Struthio camelus: one gene and its partner. The protein of the gene in region 1 interacts with the protein of each later gene in a pairwise test. Links are inferred from orthologs where the notes say so. Each region holds a gene or a part of one and is shown on either strand. Other genes may lie near its edges.

Region 1 (7,273 bases):
AAGAAAGCCTCATGAATAACATTGAGCTAATACAATAATAACTGAGATAATACAACACTACCGTTGCCAGATATCCTCATTGACCAGAAGAGTTACCTCCTAGTCACAGATCTATAAGAAGCAAAGTACACGATCTCAGAATTACTGCAAAGCCATTCCAGAAATCTCTCCCTCAATTACAGAACTCTAGAAATGTAGTACAGGAGGCAAAATGAATCTTCTGTTTCTCTGTACACAACGGAGTAGAATCACAGAGAACAAGGCAAAGAAAATTATGTTAAAATATCATGTAAAAACATTTTTAAAAACAAAAGAAAAGAGTATAGGAATAATAAACAATCTGATAGAGCAATAGTTTTGTACTGCATCACCCACATTAAAGAGACTGCTTTAACTATAGTAGCCTTAACTAGTCTGGAGTTATACTCTCCCTACCCTGAATTTCTCTTACTGGATCCATTCTCTCACAGCTTTCTTTGCCAGAGAGGGGGTTTGCAAGAGAGAGATTGGCAGCAGTAGATTGTACTCACGGGAGGATGTATATAAAAGGCTAATTTTTATCCTGATTTGGAACTGCTTCCCCTAGAACCTGCATTTTTCATTAGAATGGGAAATCTATTTCCTAAAACAAACAAACAAAAAAAGACTGCATAATGAAGTTATCAAGCCTCAGGGATCAAGACCCAATGTACAGTTCTCAGCACACTTTTCTGATAAGATCAAACAAACATGTATGGACTTAATGAGGAAGGAAAATCTGCTGCCCTTACCAGGCTTAGCACAACTCTCTTCATTTGGCATCAGTACATATGCTGGAGCAAAAAAAAAAAAAAAAAGAAAAAAAGAAAGGACTAAAAATGGTACAGCTACACCTTGTGAGTGACAACTCTGACTTTCCTCACTGGTAACAACTAGCTGAGAATATTCTTTATGAATTAAACCACTTTTACTACAGCTGTTGAGTTGTAGACGTTCCAGCTGATGTTACAATGAAAGCACGCATCCCAACAGAGCTTTTACCTTGCTGAAGGCTTCTTTTAATAATTACTTGCAGGCTTAAATTCCAGTATACCACAACTGAAGTAAATGTTCTGTCTGCAGTGTCTTTTCATAACATATTGTGCTGAGAAAATAAATCAATACACTATAAAAATGAAACACGTAAATCATAAAATCTGTCGTGAACTTTTGAGGGTGACTAGGTATTTTTTGATCATTTGTTGAACGAACATACTTATTGCTTCAACGTTCAGTTTCTAGCTCAGCCTCAGCTCCACGCTACTTCCTTTTACCATTTACTTGTTGGGGATATAGTTACGTTAGATATCACTTTACCATTCTATTACAGGTCTTCCATTGAGAAATTAAATAACTTTTTCCCTTTAGAAACATATTCCTTTACATGCAGAAGAGCACATATGTTCCCCACTCCTTTACAAATAAATTATGTTACAAACAAAGCATATTTGTAAGATATTAACAACTTTTAAAAATTCTTCTGCTAAAATACAAAAGGGAATGCTTAATACATATAAAGTCTAAACATTTGAGAGCTTTCAACGATGCTTGACATATACCGATTGAAAACAGGAAGGATGTGACATACACTTGAAATGGATTTTTAAAGTCCTTAGTTATGAAAAACAAAACTACATTGCTGAATAAAAGTGTGAACTCTTTCATTCCATTCCAAATCGATGTCAGCAGTTGACTTATCTGAATACATCAATGCTGCGTGGAGACTAACACAATAAATCTCAAAAAAATTCCCACAGTACCATCAGCACGGATATTCATCCTGCAATTTTCAAGTTTAGCCTCTTCCGCAATGAGGATTACAGCCGCTCATGACAAATCACTAGGGTAATTACGACAGTGCAGAGAAGCAGCCCTGCCGCATGCATTTGGATAAAACCAGCTGACGTTTGCTTGACAGGAAAATCAACTGGAGACCACAGCTCACCTGGAGGGCTTAGGGAGTTGGTGTGTCTACCCCAGTGGCCGACCATCGGCACTGTAACGGGGGTGTCGGACACTAGTGTAAGACACTACATGCAAATCTGACTGCAAATTAGTTTGCGATCGCTCCCATAAAAACCGTGGCCCAGTGCAATTTCTAATGGATCCCACACAGGGATCTGAGGAGTGTGCTAACTCCATGCCTTTTATTTCAAATTCGCCATTAAAACTTCCTCAGAGGTCTTTCTCCCACAACTCCTCGGACGCTTCCCGCTGAAGTCGGGTCCGCTGCCGTATTGCTTAAGGGCAAATTTTTGCCCCCTTTCTCGGTCTCCTCGGCACGCCGAAGACAGACAGAAAAGCAAGCACTGACCTACCCACCACCACCACTAACTCCTCAGGAAACGCTTCCTGCGCCACGCCGTCCTTCACCGATTCTCCTTGGGTCTGCTCCTGCTCGCGGCCCCGCGCGGCCGGAGCCGGGGCCTGCCACGCCTGTCACCCCACCACGGAAGAAACGGGACCAGCCTGGCACCCGCCTCAACGCGCCACCCGGCGAAGCAGCGCGGACGGCTCCTCTCTGCGGGCGTCGGGGGCCGCCGCCGGGCGGGCCGAGCCCGCGGCCGCCGACGCCATTTCGGGGCGCTCCGGCGCCCCCGCGCCGCGCCGCTCGCTCCCGCCGCCCCCTCCTCACGGGCCGCGCTCCCAACGCCCGGAGACGGGCAGCAACGTCTCCCCGGCATCCCCTGACAGGCAGCGCGGGGGGAGCCTATGCGCCTCGCTGCCGCTGCCCTGGCGAAACGCACAGCTTCACCGACAAACCACCCCCCGGCACCGAGGCTGGCGCCGTTACCTCCGCGCCGGGCCTCAACATGGCGCCTCCCCCCCCCCCCGCCTAGCTCGCCGCTTCCTGCCTCCGCTGCGGGCAGCGCAGCCGCCGCCATCTCGTGCGGGGTCAGCGGCAGCCCGCTCCGCCCCGCTGGGCGCCGGCCTGGGTAGCGGGCCGTGGGTGCCGCTCTCAGACGGTGTGTTTCCCAAATAGCGGGGGAGAAAAAGGGCTTTGGCCCTGCTCCGTCCTGAGCCTTAGGGAAAAAAAAATTGTTAATGCGTAATTTTAAAATTTAACCTCCGTGTCGGTGTGTTCCTTCTCAAGCAAACGCAGCTAGTGCAAGCCGGTATGACACGTAAATGAGTATCCTGTGTGAAGCTAACAGGGGCAAAACCATTGTAAACCTTCCCATTTTTCAGCGCTGTGCTGCATTACTTTTAAGCATAAACAACTAGCTGGTTGAATGATGAATTGAGCTGTCGGTATGCACAGGGTTAAAGCTAAATATTATAAAGCACGCGTCACAGGGTAACAGCTTTTGGATATAATGACAGGTGCTGAACTTATTCAGCAGTCAACATCTAAAAGTTGATGCATTTTAGTCAAAGCTAATACGTTTGTTATTGACTTTTTATTGCTGTGCTTTCCCCTGTCACATATATTTTACATTGGACATTCAAAATGCTTGCCTAAAAGATTAATACACCTAGTCCGTTCTACAGCAAATGCAGAGGTGTACGGAGGAGTTTATCCCCAATTACAGTGGAAAAGCCGGGTCATTTCTTAAGACGTTTTTGTGTTTGTTTACTAATGAGGCCTTTGGAGCCCTCTGCTGACAATGAGGGCTCCTACCTGAAATCAACTTGCCAAATGCATTTTTCAACTTGAGTACCATATAAGGCAGACACACCTCTTCCCCTTCCCCCCTTTTTTACATAATAAACATCACCAGCACTAATCACAAAAGGGGAAAAAACCCTAGCATTATTGTATATGCTATTAAAAATGGTATAAGAATAAGCAAATTATTAAATCATTGTAATGAGCCAGTGAATCAGTGTTCTTTATTGCCTACTATTACAATGTGTTAAGCTGTCAGGGTCTGTGGAGTCTGAAGTGATGCAGTGATGCAGTGGTTGATTTGTACATTGATAACTGAGGAATCTTAAATGATTGCTAATTTCATGTAATAATTAACTCACCTCACAATTTATGTGTGTCAAGCTAACAAATTCATTAGTGATTGAACACACGCTGCAATGGTTAGTGTTGTTCCACATGGCTACATATTGCAGGCAAACAGAGACCACAGTTGAGATCTGGCTTCCTCCGTGCCTCCTCTCTCTGGCCCGTACAGCAACAAAGTGCGGGACAAGGCTTATCCCCGAGAGTCCATAGTATAACCAGATGAGAGGAGGCAAAGAACTTGGGACAGAGGAGGTGACTTTCCCGACCCCTCTCAGCAAACCGCTGACAGACCAGGAACACAGTCCAAGCCTTCCAAGTCCAAATACAGCACGTCATCCAATGGGCTATCTTACATGTATTTATGTTTTTCTGCAGCATGCGTATATCATTAGCTTAGCAGCAGCTGTCATTGCAGTATCCGAGACTTTCAGTTTAGTCTCAGTTTGAGGATCCCAAGAGAAGGCTCTCCGATGCTAGTTTTCTTTAACCTTTTTCTGTCTGCTAAGATTGCGAGTGTGGTATGTAGAGAACTCTTTACACCCTCCGCTTGAAAGTGCATTGCCCATGACAAAGACAGAGAGCTCCCTTGGCAGAGAGAAGCACAGGAAGGAGCACGACTCGCTGCCTCTCGCCATTACCCCTCTTTGAGCAGGGCTCAGAACACAGGACGTCCCTCTCGGGGCAGGTTCGGAGGACTGATTCCCGCTTGAAGGACTGCATAGGCTTCTCCTTTAAATCATCTTTGTGTTAATGAATAACGAGTCATTGTTCCAGGTTCCCATTTATAAAACAGGGACAATAATGCTTTCTCAATTACTCCTGAAGTAAAACAGAATAAAAATATGATAAACATGATATACATTCTAAATTCATACCTATGTTTATATGTGTGTAATGATATATACGTACATCTTTGTACATTTTTTCAGGATCAAATCAGTGCTACCATAACATCTACAAGTTCCGAGTTCATGAGACTTTAGTATTGGCTGTGGTATGTGTCTACTACTCTAAAAACATAGACTGCTATTCAAAAAATGATATATTCTGCCAGCTGCAAAAGATATTTACAGAACTAGCTGGAAAAAAGTTGGTCAAACAATATTCATCATAAGATTCAGGCACAGAATCAGTTTCAAATAAGCTTTACTAAAAAGAGATTTCTTCCAGAACAACAGTTCTTTTTAAAGAAAAAAAGATCAAAACAAAATAGATGGGTGATATTTATGCTATGAAATTAATTTTTACATTTTTATTTCATTTTTAAAATTATGTCTTATCAGGGACTAACAATGCCTGCTGTTTTATCATAAAATGTTGCTCCTTTATCATATAATCCCACACTGATATGACACACCATTTTGTGACATACTGTAATAGTTTAACATTTCTGAGTTTAAATCAGCTGTGGTTTAGCATCGTCTGCCTGCTATCTACAGAAAGACTGTATTAGCATAAGAACGCATGTGAATGCGTGTGGCATGCCATCAGGCAGAAAACATCCTGCAAAATTGCCACAATTATTACTTGATTTATTTATTAATGTATATGTATATCTATGAAGGAGATCACAGATCAAGCCCTGGCTGTGTGATCTGAACTTTCTAAAACCCTGCGCACAGGTAATAGTAGCATCTGTTTCTTATGGAATGGAATCAAGGAAACTGCCTTGAAAACCTAAAAAGGAAATGGTTGGTCACTTGCTAGAAATACTCCTAGATAGGGAGGGAAGGTCAATTTCTGCTCTCAGTAATATCAGTATAAAAGTGTCAGCAGTGAAATCAGATGAGTAATAGGTTTACACAAATATGGCTGAGAACAGAATTTGTCTCCATGTCTTCAGCAGAAAGCTTGAATGCCAAAGTTGTGATGAATGATTAAAAAATACCCTTTCTTCCTGACTGAAAATCAAAGACTACTAAGTAAAGTTACAAATACCATTATTGAAAATACTATTCGTCCTATAAAGAACCATAATCCTATTTAATTTATATTTCATGCAGCCTTTTTAAATACATTTGTATAGCACTGAATTGGCCATGGGATAGTTTCATACTAAATCTCCCTGGAACTATGACTGTTTGCAAAAATGAAACAAGAGGTGGCAACAATTCAGACACGCTATATTAACATGGCTGAATAAAACAGATTTTTTCAGAATTACAGCCATTTTCTAGCACAGGCTCTGAAATGTGATTTTTAATATTGTGTTTCCTGCCTAAGAAGAATTATATCATCCTTGAAAAATCTCGAAAGCCAAGAACAGTACTGACTGATGAAGCAGAAGGGCCCCCAAACTTCTTAGTGTTAGAGGAAGGATGTTGCTGGAATAACGGAGGAAAAAGTGACAAGCAGAGACAGGTACTGCAAAAAGCAGACTTTGGAGAAGTTGAAGGTGTGGGAGGCTAATAAGAAGATATTTTCCAGTGATTTTGAAGACTTCTTTCCAACTGAATTCCTCTGGGAGCATGTAGCCCTGATCGGCCAATAAGTTCATGCCTCAGTCTGTCAATGGCAGGAGATTTAACTTATTTGCAATTTTTTCTGACCTCACATCCAACAGACATTACCCAGATGAGGCATCTGTCTTTTGACAGGGGAATGTAAGCCAAAAGAAGACTTTTAACTTTGCATGCAGTTTGAGTGGAAGTATGCAAGTATATATGTCCTAGCATAAGGCCCTCAAATCATTTCCATCTTGTGTAGGAAGGCAGCTGGGATAGCAGGAAAAGCAGAAGTACACAACATATTCAAAATGATTTGTTTATTTAATAATTTAATAGATTGATTGACTTACTAAATCTTGTAGTAAGAGGATACATTAATATGATTAGGGAGCAGTAAGACCATGCACAAGAAAATATCCCTCATCATATACCTGCTTTCCTATTTCTCCTTTATTCCAATGAATGATCATTATCCTGGGTTACCTTTCCTGCTCTAAGATTGCCTAATGTCAGATTTCTCCAATGTTTTGTTATGTAGCAATCAGTTGGTTTCAGTGGGAGGATATCATAACAAAATTTGTGCCATGGGCTATTATAAGTACTTGTTTGCCTTGTCTTAGTTGAGGGTAAGCCTTCACTATTCACCAGCTATTATGGCAATCCTGGTTACAGTATTGGTGGTTGAAAACGGTGTCTAAACAATGATGAGAAATTTCACCTAAGAAGAAGTAAGCGTGACTGAAATTTTGCACGCGATGTTATGGTAGGTTGGATCATGCGGATTATTTCATTGTTCTTATTGTGATTGCACAAAGACGAGCAAAAAGGTATTAGCAAAATTGTGCATCCT
Region 2 (7,001 bases), on another chromosome or scaffold:
TTCCTTTAGCTCTCTGACACACTTGACATCTAACCACGGCGGTGCTTCCAGCAACGCCTCTGGGTTACTTAATAATCAGCCTGCTATCAGCCCTGATTCATGGCTCATTCATTTAACTATTTTAATTCTCTGCATATTTACTTAAGCGGTTTCCCTCGTGCCGCTGTCGCAGCCTCCGCTCTGACGCTTCCCAATTTCGGCGAGCGCCCGGGCTGCTTTCGGCGAGCGCCAAGCGGCGGCTCAGCCCGGCGAGACCCTCCGAGGGAGAGAGCGGGAGCTGGTCCGTCTCCCCGCAAGTATTCCCAGGCGCGGGAGCCGTGCTTTCCACTTCCAACCAGATTATTTTCACTCAGCTGGGTCTAAGGTTTCATAACCTTACTCTGGTTAAAAATAGACTCTGCCTACTATGCAACAGTAAAACCCAAACTACTCGGTGCCACAGAATAGCAGCATGAATCAGTTCGTAGTACCACGAGTTTATTCTCATGCCAGAGACTGAAAAAGCAAAACACCTTCCCCGGGAAGAATATAAGAAGTGCTTACTTGACCGAATAATTTTCAAAAGCACGGGGAAAAATCCAAAAATAATAATAAAAAAAAAGCTCAGCAAGCCCCCAGCTGTGATATTTTCTGTCAAGCCATTATTTCTTGCTGGCAACTTGAAAGGTAAATAAGAAACATTAGCAAATGCATTAAAGGTTATCTGACACGGCCCAAACGAAATGAGGTTCAAATACACTCAGCCCAGATTGTACTGTAATAAATATGAAAACAGCAAAGTGCGCTTTGTCTAGGAAAATCCTCTATTTGATTACACCTTATGAATAATTCACGCCAGGTTTCCATATTTGTCCTCCTGTAGGTACACACTGTGCATTACCTTGCCTTCTATATAGACGCACACATTTCCTGCACTAAATTATTAAAGGCTTGCCAGGAGCTGCAGAGCCTCGCCGAGCGGAGAACAAACGCGCTATCCCGAAAATAAACCTCTGAACCTTGACGGGCCTCATCCGCAAAGCGCTTAGCAAAAAAACTCTCGTGGAAAACCAGAAAAACAACAACAACAAACAACAACAAAACCTCCACTTGCTGGTGACTTGATAATTTGCTGTAACAAACGACTTGACTTTTAGGTTTGCAAATGGCTCCGAGCGTTTTCTCTCCCGTCCCACCGATGCTTTGTAATTAGGCGCGTTAGTAAGCCGGGACTGCTTTAGAGAAGGGTTGTGGCATGTGTCAGCCTCTTCCTAAAGCGAGATTATGTAACTCGTAGGTGACAGATCCTTGCGGGGAGGGGAGGGAGGGGGAAGCAAAAAATACACATTGAGGAAACTTTACTAGATATTTTCTCAGGTGCAAGCTAAAGCCCAAATTGGTTATTTCGAGGAGCAAAGGAGGCCGGGGCCGGCGGGCCGGGCGCGGGGAGGCTGCCGGAGCCGCCGGGCCACGCCGGTAGGTGTTGCTGTAGCGACGGGAAAACATCCCCAGCCGGGCAAATTTGGGGAAGAGAGAGCCGTCAAGCCGCCTCCCCCCCCCCTTTTCCTTCCCCCCCCTCCCACCCCCCCCGCCGGTTCTTTCAACATCAGAAAATTGGAACCGCAGCCTTAAAGATGGAGCAGGCTCCTGACTTAACTGACAAGGGGAAAATTGAGTGCAACTCGGAAAAAAAAAAATACATACATATATACATATATATATGCGTGTGTATACACATATATATAGCGCAGCGTTTCCACCTTGCCGCTCCGACACGGCCGTCGGGCAGGGGCAGCGGGCCCCCCTCGGCGGCAGGGTTTGGAGCCCCCCGTCGGGGCCCTCCCGTCCGTGTCCTCCGCTTCTGCCCCGCCGCCCCCGGCCCCGCCGCGGCGCTCCCGTCCGGGCCCCCGCGGCCGGGCACCGAGCCCGGCACCGAGCCGGACCGAGGGGCACCGGGCCGCGGACCCCCACCGAGGGGAACCGAGAGGGCGCCCCCGGCCGAGGGGCATCGAGCAGAGGACCCCCCCCCCAACCGAGGGGAATTGAGACGGGGACCCCCGACGGAGGGTCACCGAGCCTGGGACCCTCGACCGAGGGGAACCGAGCCGAGGACACCCGACCGAGGGGCACCGACATAGAGACCCTCGACCGAGGGGAACCGAGACGCGGACCCTCGACCGAGGGGAACCGAGACGGGGACCCTCGACCGAGGGGAACCGAGCCCGGCACCCGGACGGAGGGGCACCGACATAGAGACCCTCGACCGAGGGGCACCGAGATGCGGACCTTCGACCGAAGGGAACCGAGCCCGGCACCCCGACCGAGGGGCACCGAGGCGAGCACCCCCGACCGAGGGGCATCGAGCCGGGGACCCCCGACGGAGGGGCACCGAGATAGGGACCCTCGACCAAGGGGCACCGAGCAAAGGACCCCCGACCACGGGGCATCGAGCGGGCGCCCCCGACCGAGGGGCACCGAGTAGGGGACCCCCGACCGAGGGGCACCGAGTAGGGGACCCCCGACCAAGAGGCACCGAGCCGAGGACCCCCGACCGCGGGGCATCGAGCGGGCGCCCCCGACCGAGAGGCACCGAGTAGGGGACCCCCGACCGAGGGGAACAGAGACGGGGACCCCCGACCGAGGGGAACAGAGACGGGGACCCCCGACCGCGGGGCATCGAGCGGGCGCCCCCGACCGAGGGGCACCGAGTAGGGGACCTCCGACCGAGGGGCACCGCTCCGGGCACCGATCTCGACCCCGCAACGGCGGAGCACGGAGCCGCATCCCCGAGGACGCCCCCTCCTCCACGTCTCCCCCCAGCCCAGGGCACCCGCAGCCCTACCTGCGGCTCGGCGCGGCTCGGCGGCGGCGGTGCCTGGCGCGGCGCCTCCCGCTGCTGCCGCTGCCGCTGCCGGGGCTGCGCCGCGCCGCGCTGCGCTGCCCTTTTTCGTCAGTGGAAAACTCCGGGGCTCTGACGCAGGCGGTGACAGGGCGAGGAGACGGCGCGGCCCGGCCTGCCCGCCCGGCTTCCTGCCCCCCCCCCCCCCGGCTCCTTCCCCGTCCTTCCCGCCCCGTCCCTCCACCACCACCCCCCTCCCCGCCACCCCAACCCCAACGCCGGCCCGGCAGGCGGGAGCCTCCAGCCGCCGCGGCGCTGCCCGGGCGCCGACCGCCCCGGCGGGGGGCGCGGAGCCGCCGCGGGCGACGGGCTGCTGCCTCCCCCCCCCCCGCCGCCGCCGCCCCCCTACATCGTCGCCCCGCGGGGGTGGCGGCGGCGGGGCTGGGTGCCGCCAGTGGAGGAGCGGGGGGGGCACACAACGGGGTGGGCTTCAAAGGGGTCTGAGTTCCCCAAAAGGGGGTCTGGGTCCCCAAAAGGGAGATGGGGCCCCAGAAGGGGTTTGCGTGCCCAAAAGGGGTCTGGGTTCCCCAAAAGGGGTCTGGGTACCCAGAAGGGGTTTGTGTGCCCAAAAGGGGTCTGGGTTCCCCAAAAGGGGTCTGGGTACCCAAAAGGGATCTGGATCACCAAAAGGGGTCCAGGTTCCTCAAAAGGGGTCCAGGTACCCAAAAGGGAGATGGGGCCCCAGAAGGGGTTTGCGTGCCCAAAAGGGGTCAGGGTTCTCCAAAAGGGGTCCAGGTACCCAAAAGGGGGGGGTGTTGGGTCCCCAAAAGAGGTTTGGGTCACCAAAAGGGGTCTGGGTCCTCAAAAGGGGGATGGGTCCCCAGAAGGGGTTTGCGTGCCCAAAAGGGGTCTGGGTTCCCCAAAAGGGAGATGGGTACCCAAAAGGGGGATGGGTCCCCAGAAGGGGTTTGCGTGCCCAAAAGGGGTCTGGGTTCCCCAAACCGGATCTGGATCACCAAAAGGGGTCCGGGTTCCCCAAAAGGGGTCTGGGTCCTCAAAAGGGGGATGGGTCCCCAGAAGGGGTTTGCATGCCCAAAAGGGGTCTGGGTTCCCCAAACCGGATCTGGATCACCATAAGGGGTCAGGGTTCTCCAAAAGGGGTCTGGGTTCCCAAAAGGGGTCTGGGTCCCCAGAAGGCGTTTGCGTGCCCAAAAGGGGTCTGGGTTCCCAAAGGGGGGTGTTGGGTCCCCAAAAGAGGTCTGGGTCCTCAAAAGGGGTCTAGGTCCCCAGAAGGGGTTTGCATGCCCAAAAGGGGTCTGGGTTCCCCAAAAGGGATCTGGGATCACCAAAAGGGGTCAGGGTTCTCCAAAAGGGGTCTGGATTCTGAAAGGGGGGGGGTTGGGTCCCCAAAAGAGGTCTGGGTCACCAAAAGGGGTCTGAGTGCCCAAAAGGGGTCTGGGTCCCCAGAAGGGGTTTGCATGCCCAAAAGGGGTCTGGGTTCTCCAAAAGGGAGATGGGTTCCCAAAGGGGGGCGTTGGGTCCCCAAAAGAGGTCTGGGTGCCCAAAAGAGGTCTGGGTCCCCAAAAGGGGGTTGGGTCCCCAAAAGGACTTTGGGTCACCAAAAGGGGTCTGGGTTCCCCAAAAGGGGGTCTGGGTCCCCAAAAGGGAGATAGGTCACCAAAAGGGGTTTGGGTGCCCAAAAGGGATTTGGGTCATCAAAAGGGGTCTGGGTTCCCCAAAGGGGGATTAGGTCCCCAAAAGAGGTCTGGATCCCCAAAAGGGGCTTGGGTCACCAAAAGAGATCTGGATCCCTGAAAGGGGTCTGTGTGCCCAAAAGGGGGGTGGGTTGCCAAAAGGAGTTTGGGTCCCCAAAAGAGGTCTGGGTCCCCAAAAGGGATTTGGATGCCATGCCCAAAGGGATGGGTCCTCAAAAGGGGTCTGGGTTCCCAAAGGGGGGTTGGGTCCCCGAAAGGGGGCTGGATCCTATGAACATAGACTGGTCCCCAAAAGGGGTCTGAGCCCCCAAAATGGGTTTACATCCCATAAGCAGAGGTTGGCCCTCAAAAGGGGTCTGGGTCATCAAAAGGGATTTTGAGCCCCAAAAGGGGTCTGGGTTCCCAGAAGGGGTCTGGGTCCCCAGAACGGGATTTGGATCCCATAAGCAAATGTTGACCCCTGAAACAGGTTTGAGTCCCCAACAGAGATTTGGGCTCCACAAGCAAAGGTTGGCCCCCCAAAGGCATCTGGATGCCCAAAAGGGGTCTGGGTCCCCAAAAGGGGCTTGGACCCCATAAGCAAATCTTGGCTCCCGAAAGAGCTCTGGGTTCCCCAAAAATATCTGGGTCCTGAAACGGGGTTTGGGCTCCATAAGCTGGAGCTGGTCCCCAAAAGGGGTTTGGATCCCATAATGGCCCCTGAAAACAGGCGGGGGCGGGGGGGCGCGAGGCTTTTAGGATGAAATTAAAACGCGAGATGCTTTATCAGGTGCAAAAACGATGACTGCTAAAGCCGCCGTGGCTCAGCATCCGGGGGACGGTAGGAAACGCGAACACCCCCCCCCCCCCGCCACCGCCCTCGGCAGGGCAGCGGAGTGGGCGAGCGGCTCCGCGCGAGAGGGGAAGGAAGACGGTTTTAATAAAAGACGCCCGGCAGCGACCGCGAGCGCCGCGGGCCCCGGTGTCCTGGCGGCGCACACAGAGCCTTTCTTTAGCCACCCCCCCCTTTTCCGCACCATAATATTCCCTTTATGCAACGCTGAGCTAAAGCAACCCGGCGTTGAACCTCTGGTGCCGGGCAGATGAGGTATGCCAGCGCGCCGCCACGGTCGGGCCGAATGACGGGCAGGCTCGTGGACGTGTTGGGGTTTCACGACTTACTGGCTAACGACGAGAAATAAAAGGCTTTATTTCTTTTATTTTATTTTATTTATTTTGTTGTTGTTGTTGTTGTGTGCGCTGGAGGTGCATCAGGCGGCAGCTTCCGCCCCGCACGCGAGCCCGAGCCGCCCGCTCTGCTGGCGGAGAGAAATTGCAACACCGGCGGCTCGCGGAGGGCGGCGGGTTGCTTGCAGCGTCCTTTAGTCGCAGCGGCGCGGCCCGTCGCCGGCCTTGTTTTCTCCTTTGCGTTTATTTGTTCCAACAGTAGTAAAGCTGCTGTGACCTAAGTCCCGGGCAAGACAAAAACCCTTTAGCAACTCAGGGCCAACAGTCGGGACGAGCGGTTCTGACCTCAGACGTGTCCGAGTGTGAGAAAGGCATTTTGAAGCAAAACTTTCGGGCTTTTCCTTCCGAAGCACTGCTTTTCCTTTAAAAAAGCAGCCTAAAGGCACGGCACGGCCCAAGAAGTAAACGCTTACACCCCAGGATAAATAACCCTCCAACGATGTAAGACGTTTTTCCTGCGTAGGTTGCGTGAAGTTGTTCTCAGTTTGACTCAACGCGGGTTTTGCTGTTGCGACTCCTTCCTCCTTCCTCCCAACCAGTGGATTTCGGAGAGAAAAACAACAGCAACAACAAAAATTTTCTGTTTAACCTGGCGGCGGCGGCGGCAGCAGCCGGGAGGCGAGGTGAAAAAAGGGCTCCGAGTTGGGTTTTCTCCCCCGAAAGGCGGACATCAAAGCGACAAGGCGAAGGCTTCGGTTCAGCTGCGGGCTCCGGGCTGTTCACCTCAACTGGGAAACGATGGGTCTGTACTGGGACGGCACAGTCCTTTCTTAATATATCATTTTATATATATGGCGCTCTGGTGCTGCTCCTGGGTTTGGGGGGGGGACGACAAAACCTCAAAAAAGCCCCCCAAAAAAGAGGAGGGAGCTGTGAGCGGCAGCAAAGGCAAAGAAGCAGCAACATGGCGCCCGTGAAGCGCTGACCCCAACACCCAGGGGGCGGCAAAGGCGGCGCCGGGGCCTCCCGCCTCTCCGGCGGCAGCTACGGCCCGGCTTCTCGGCGGCCGGGCTGGTTGGCAAACGGTGATGTTCCCCCCGCCGAAAAACCTCGCCGCCGCGCCGTTGTTTGTCGTCTCGGGCGGACGAAGGCCTGCCTCGCTCTGCGCCCTACGCCCGACTCGCCCCAGGTGCGCTGCGGCCCTAGCGACGGCGAGGTGAGAGACGTTACCGGGCCTCGCCGGCCTTATTTGTCGGAAAGCGTCGCTTGTGAAAAGGACGACGCCAGGCTCCGGGCCGCAG

Evidence for each region. The genes of interacting proteins can lie anywhere in the genome.
Region 2: the proteins of TCEANC (region 1) and CSRNP1 interact in binary tests that used the Homo sapiens proteins (3 or more experiments, as listed by UniProt). The two-hybrid records come from large-scale screens. The link is inferred for Struthio camelus from reciprocal best matches to the Homo sapiens genes TCEANC and CSRNP1.

Annotation. Positions count from the first base shown.
Region 1 is NC_090942.1:140,517,902-140,525,174, forward strand, and holds the start of TCEANC (transcription elongation factor A N-terminal and central domain-containing protein), read right to left. Parts: upstream 3,014-7,273; 5' UTR 2,904-3,013; coding exon 2,813-2,903; exon of another isoform or gene 2,766-2,812; intron 2,620-2,765; exon of another isoform or gene 1-2,619.
Region 2 is NC_090943.1:6,779,035-6,786,035, reverse strand, and holds the start of CSRNP1 (cysteine/serine-rich nuclear protein 1), read right to left. Parts: upstream 3,022-7,001; 5' UTR 2,822-3,021; intron 1-2,821. UniProt on the Homo sapiens protein: Binds to the consensus sequence 5'-AGAGTG-3' and has transcriptional activator activity. May have a tumor-suppressor function. May play a role in apoptosis.